Nothobranchius furzeri: one gene and its partner. The protein of the gene in region 2 interacts with the protein of the main gene of each other region in a pairwise test. Links are inferred from orthologs where the notes say so. Each region holds a gene or a part of one and is shown on either strand. Other genes may lie near its edges.

Region 1 (3,662 bases), on a different chromosome or scaffold from region 2:
AAACATAGTTATAGCCAGCATCCATTTACCTGCATTTGATGTCTTTTTCCACCTACAGACCTACAGTAAATGCAAAGTATGAGGAGGAGCAAGAGACCAAACATAAATTTTGTTTATGAAAAAAGACACACAAAGATGGGAGTAAAACACCCTCTCATTCCCCCCCCCCCCCCCCCCCCTCACTCCTTTCCCATTTTCTATTTTGCTATAATTACTTCCAGGTGATGCGTCAGTATAATGAGGGCCTGCTGACCAAGCAGGAGCGGTGTAAGCACTTCATTATCCGGCAGCTGGAGGTGTTGGAGAAAAACGTTACAGAGGAGGAGGTGAATGAGATGGTAGCCACGGGAAAATGGGAGATGTTCAACGAGAACCTGCTAAATGATGCCAGAATCACACGATCACAACTGTCAGAGATTGAACAGCGGCACAAGGTGAGAGTGACTGACCCCAAAGGACACTTTAATGTAAAATAATTGGCATCTAGCCTTTTATGACTCTTCTTCTTAAAGACCAAGTTCACTTGTTTTTCCAACACGTCTGCAGTGGTCTCTAGAATAGATGAATGCCTTGTGAGTCGATCTCTGTGGGGAAAATGCTCTTGTGCTCCTGTTTCAGGAGCTAGAAGTTAGCCCAGGGGAGAGGTGAGCAGAAAACAGAACGTCTTATTTCCTGATATTCTTGCCTCTGAATGGCTAACAGCAACACAACTCTACCACTGACTCTGTTTGCTCTGCAATGTTGATGTTTTATCTCCGCAAATTACACAAGCCTGGAGGAGTTCTGTTATGTGGTGGAGCTGCTATTGCTAACGTTAGCTTCTACTAGCCAAGACGTTCTCTGCTGTTTTCTGGATGCTAAACCAATAACATAAACCAGTCAAGATGGGCAGTAGCGGTTTTAGGCATGGGCAGACCGGGCGGCTGCCCGGGGCGGCATTTTTTCATGACACAATTGGGGGCGCACAATCGCCAAGTAAAAATAAATAAATAAGAAGAAACCTGAGCCGCAACATGGTTTTCCATCTCTCAGATATCACTGTGTCTGGGTTGGAACCAGCATGTTGGCACCATCGACATACATATATGGACAATGGGTTTCCATAGACTCCAATAACACGTTTTTGTGCTAAAATAGGAGGTGGCCACCACCGCCATTTTGACCGTGTCACAGGTTCCGTCAAGCCCAGACAATTCCACAAAAGGGAAGAGAGGTGGAGCTGAGGGTGGGGCTGTAAGGCTGGGATCAAATGACGACACCCGGTCGAACTAGCTACAAGCTAACCTGAAGCTAACCCAAAGCTAATGCGGAGGTGGGAGCTAAGCTAACGGAGGTAGCAACCTAGCTACAACCGGAGTTAACTGTGCACAACACCAGAGCTTCTGAGTCAGAGATACGCCGGGCTGACCGCTGGGTAAAACTGGGTGGAACACAGAGGTCTCCGAGAGCTCCACAAGCCATCATCCCGCGCAGCAGACAGAAGCAGTGATCAGACAGAGATGCACCGAGCTGACCGCTGGGTAAAACCGGGTGGAACACAGAGGTCTCCGAGACCTCCACAAGCCGGCAGCCGCACAGCAGACAAACGCTGCGGCGATCTGAGAAGCGCAGAGCTGCTGCTGGGGAGAACCGGGTGGAAAGGTTTCCATCCCAGAGCTCCACAAGCCGACAGCCCGTGCAGCAGACAGAAGCAGCGATCAGACAGAGATGCGCCGAGCTGCGGGGAGGGGAGAACCGGGTGGAAAACATTGGTCTCCAGAGAGCTCCACAAGCCGATAGTGGGAACCCAGCTCCACCAACATGTTATGTTTCAACCCATTTTCTAAAGTGCAGCATCATGTTAAATGCACTGGGTTTTACCCTATTACATTTAAATTTCATGGTTAAACAGTACATGTTAAAATCTAAGCTCAGCTCGGCAGTGACCTAAAATACATAAATATAATTTTACTTACCGAAAACAATGAAGTGGAGACTCCTTGGACGCTCTATTAGTGCAATTAATGCCACAGCAAGTCATTTTGTCCAACAAATGCACAAATAATATCCAAACAAGAATACACAAACACAGAGACTCAAAATCCCAGAGCAGTGTCCAGGCCAGACCGAGGCTCTACTGAGGCCTTTCCACGGAGCTAGCTCTGTGGTCACGTGGGTCTGATGCTCATTAATTATACAGAATTTTAGGCTTTTAATCCACTTAAACAGAAGAGTGAGAAAAACATTCACCCCCTTCAGAGTTGTCATGAGTGTAAACTAGATCATTTAAACCAAAAACATGTTTTGGTACCAGGCTGTCAACATGTTTATTTCTGCTGTGAAATTGGTATTTTTAACATGGGAGTCAATGAGGATTTGCTCGCTTCTGACACCAGCCCCTAGTGGATGAGGGTGGAACTGCAATTTTGGTACTTTCGGGTTGTGACCAATTTTTGAGCCGCATTGTGGGGGCTTGGTTGGCACCCCCTAAAGGCGCTCCTGCACAAGAGAATAGGGCGGGGCGCGGGGGAATTCACCTCATGGTCTCTCCCAAATGAAACAGATGGTGGTGGAGAGTCTAAATCAACTGTATTAGATGACTGATGTTCTTCCATATAACGCAATTTAATTCATAATATTATAAATACAGGCTTATAATTCCTTCACATTTTTCTGAATTATATGAAATGGCCCAAAAAAACAAAAAAAAAGAGGAAAAATAAAACGATTTTGTCTTCACCCACCAAGGTCAATTGGTTTAGTCTTGACTCGTGGTTATTGCTATTGACAACTGGAAACCTGTTTAGAGTTGAGTGCCAAGCGAGATGGACAGAAAAAGGCCAAAACCACCAGGTGCCCAATTCAGGAAAAGAAGAAGAGGAAAAACGGGCTAAAGATAAAGGTAGCACGTTCTCATGATAGGATGCACGTTTTTATTTTTTTAAGCCGGTTAACTGGGGATTTTGACGGTTACATTTGGTCAACTAATCGCTAACAGAGCAAATAGCGCTGAAAGTTTGAAACGAATGGTTCGAATTAATTCCTTGAATCCTTTTTTAATGATTCAAGCACGAGGATTGGTTAACTGCGCACTGCAGCCTGTGGCCTGCCTCCTGAACAACAAAAACACGTTGATCAAGATTCATGTTCACATAATAATGAATAAACTCTACAAGCAGAAAAAAATGTCCCAGTCCTCACTAACTTTCCTGTTATTAGCATTTCCAGTACTACTGAAGATGTTAATGAAATACATTACTGGTCTACTGATCATAGCATGCCAGCAAACTCATGCAGTCTCCAAACATGCATGTGGACCTAGCTGTGAGCCTTTTGAAGACGACACCAAGGTCTCCAGAGCTACAGGGCAAGTGGCTTTGTGACAGCACAGATGGCAGCCAAAGAAATGTGTGAAAAAATTAATGTGGAGGCTGTTTTGAAACCAAAAAGGTTGAGGTCCACAAACTGCCACTTTTCATATGAATCCCATGATGAGCCTTTCAGTGATGCCCTTATAAAGTCAAGGGATGTCTCGCCCAGGGAGCAATTCCAAGTAGAACCGCCAGTCAAGATGGGTGAGTCCATGAATGTTAATTTGCAGTGTGAAGTAGATCTGTCAGGCTTTTCTAATCCAAGCCTTTCCCGGTCTGTTTTCTACCAGCGGCTAACGCAGGCAATAGGTG
Region 2 (2,795 bases):
TTCATGTTTGACTACCTGCTGAAAACAAACATATAAAAGGAACCAAGCTAATTAAATTTAAAAAAAATCTAAATTTAATCCAAGAAGCTAATGGAGCTGTCAGCTGCTGCATAGTTCAAACCTTACACTGTCGCTCCTGCACACAGGACGGTAAAGTGCTCATGAACAGAAACCGAACAGATTCACCTGGATGAAGGTTTCTGTTCAGATACATCAGACATGATCTCAGCTCAGGTTAGAAAATCCCCTCGGCCAGTGATCATCACTACGCAGGGTTTAGATTTTTCTTTTTAATGGCACGTTTTTGCACTTCAAGGTCAGACAATACAGAATGTGTCGCTGCAGGTCAAAACGTATTCTTGATCTGCATGCAAGCAAATAAATAAATGGAAAGAAATGTTACACGCTTGCACATCTAGAGATGCGCTGAAGTTTGATTCGGACTTATTTAATACTCTTGACCTACTCATGTCATCTCAAACATCTACAGCTTTCAATAGCACAAAAGTGACAAATAAGGAGAAATTAAGTCTCTTTTTTACTTTAAAAACCTCGTTTACTTCAACTTTTACCTCTTTTCTCAACATATACATTTTAAAGATACGTAATTTTGAGTTTTTGCAAAAACATTCTTGAAAATCCCCTCATTCAGTGCATCTCTAGACACAACAGTTCCCAAAAATCAAAACTGCTGAAAAATCCTAGACACATTCAAACTCCTCTACCTGATTAAAAAAAAAAAAAAAAAGACTGATATACAGTACCTGCACAAAAATAAACTATTGTTTTTGCATTCGTAGTATGCCGTGTTAGTGAAAGCCACATTTGAGTTTGAATCCCTCTCACTGCCACAGATGCACTTGGCTACTTTTGAATAAAGCCCTATGTAGACAGAAGTGCACACCCTGTGTGTGTAACCCACTTGTAAACGTGTATCAGTGCAAGATTTGCCTGAAGGTGACCACAAACGCTGGTAAAGCAAACACTAAATAGCAGAATACAAACAAGCTGCTCTTAAAGAGCCCATGAGTGGAGGCTTAGATGGGCTTGTAAAGCAGAGAAGTGACGTATTTCTTTTTATATCTGTGAGTAGCACTCAGCACCATGACTCCATCCTACACAAACAAAAATAATGAGATTTAAGAATTTATATCAGAAAACGATGCAATATTTCACGTTCTACCTGCCACGTCTGAACAACGTGAGGCAGACTTCAGCTTCCAGTGCACCTACCTTTATGGAAAGAGCATAAAGGTGATTTAACATCACGTGGTTGGGTTCAGGCAGCAGGGCAGGGTCACACTAGAGCAGGGTGAAAGGAAATATGATCAGTGGCAAATTTAGAAAGGACATTGAAAGTATTCAGCTAGAATTCAAAGTAGACCGATGATGATGGAGACACTGACAGATACATTAGTGTCCTTGTTGAGAATGACTTGAAGCAGGTGAGGAGGGAGAATCGGAGGGGCTTTGAAGTGCTCCTCGGGTCTAAAGATGTACTGCTCCTGTCCGTACGGGCCTGGAGGGGAGCTGGACAGATCTAGAACAAAACAGTTCACACTTTGACTGATGACACCCTGCTAACCCAAATAAGGAGTCACAGCGGATCTCACCTGATGTGTCGGAGCACTCCAGAGAGTCGACCTGCAGAGCGTCAAACACCTCAAAGTCTGACTTCTTCACCTGGATCAGGTTGTTAATGGTGCCGAGTTGACTCGTTACCACCGGCTGCAAGACAAAACAACGACCCAGTTGGTGATGATCAACACAAACTGCATGAGTGGAAGCAGGTCCTGATGAGCATGTGAACAATTTTGCAGGAAAATACCAAACATGGGCTTCCTTTCACTTATCATATATGATGTAATGGTGGCTTTTGTGACTCCGGCAAATAAAATAATAAAATAATGAGTCAAAAAAAGCAATAATTTTTATTTTTAATGGAGAGCAGGGTGAAATGTTGTGGATTTAGTTGCAGAAGGAGACCGACGTACTTTAATGAATCCTGTTTACCTGTTTTAGCGACTATTTTGTTGTATTTATTTTCACATTTACTCGCTCGACCGAGGAGATAAAAAAAAAGCTAGACTTGCTGTTTCCCAGCACATCATTTAAACCAGGCTGAAGGCTCCCGCTATGATCCAGCGGAGAAGCTGCATTCACAATCTGACAGTTAAACATAGTTGTTTTATGACGTGTTCGACTCCAGGCTGTGCATCAGCCAGCAGGCGATTGCTGCTATCGATTTTCCCAGCAGCTCATTCATCTTGTCAGCGTGGGATGAGACAACAAACCTCAAATGCTCTGGCGAATCATCTCATGGTTAAAGTGGCTCCTCGTCTCAACAGCAAGTCAATTTTCCTTCCACTTAAATTATTCATACCGTACTCTCTTTTATTACTCACCAACTTTACCTTTCAGATGGTGTGAGAGGAAAAGACGTGAATCCTGTTACACAATAAAATCAGTGATTTTTGGTTTCAGATCACTGATGAGAGTGAAGTTCCTTTTACTTCAGGAACCTACCCATCTCTATTTTTAGTTTCTGCTTTGTATCTGGTTTAAGCTGCACTACATTGTTCGGAGCCACCTCTGCAAACTTTCCAGTTAATGGTCTACAGGCTGTTATTTACTCTGACTGGGGGTTGGTGTCTCCACACCGAACTGATGCCGAGCACAAATAAATCTGTCGTGTCTTTTGTTAAAAACAAGAAGCAAACGAACTAACAGGAAAATGGAAAACGGCCTGTATTTTATATAGCGCCTTCTAGAGTCCTGGGACCCCCCCCAAGGTG

The links.
Region 1: the proteins of prkab2 (region 2) and stx19 interact in binary tests that used the Homo sapiens proteins (3 or more experiments, as listed by UniProt). The link is inferred for Nothobranchius furzeri from reciprocal best matches to the Homo sapiens genes PRKAB2 and STX19.

Annotation. Positions count from the first base shown.
Region 1 is NC_091754.1:3,808,705-3,812,366, reverse strand, and holds part of stx19 (syntaxin-19), read left to right. Parts: intron 1-221; coding exon 222-434; intron 435-3,662. UniProt on the Homo sapiens protein: Plays a role in endosomal trafficking of the epidermal growth factor receptor (EGFR).
Region 2 is NC_091751.1:56,448,589-56,451,383, reverse strand, and holds the end of prkab2 (5'-AMP-activated protein kinase subunit beta-2), read right to left. Parts: intron 1,729-2,795; coding exon 1,614-1,728; intron 1,541-1,613; coding exon 1,407-1,540; intron 1,303-1,406; coding exon 1,234-1,302; intron 1,116-1,233; coding exon 1,038-1,115; 3' UTR 616-1,037; downstream 1-615. UniProt on the Homo sapiens protein: Non-catalytic subunit of AMP-activated protein kinase (AMPK), an energy sensor protein kinase that plays a key role in regulating cellular energy metabolism.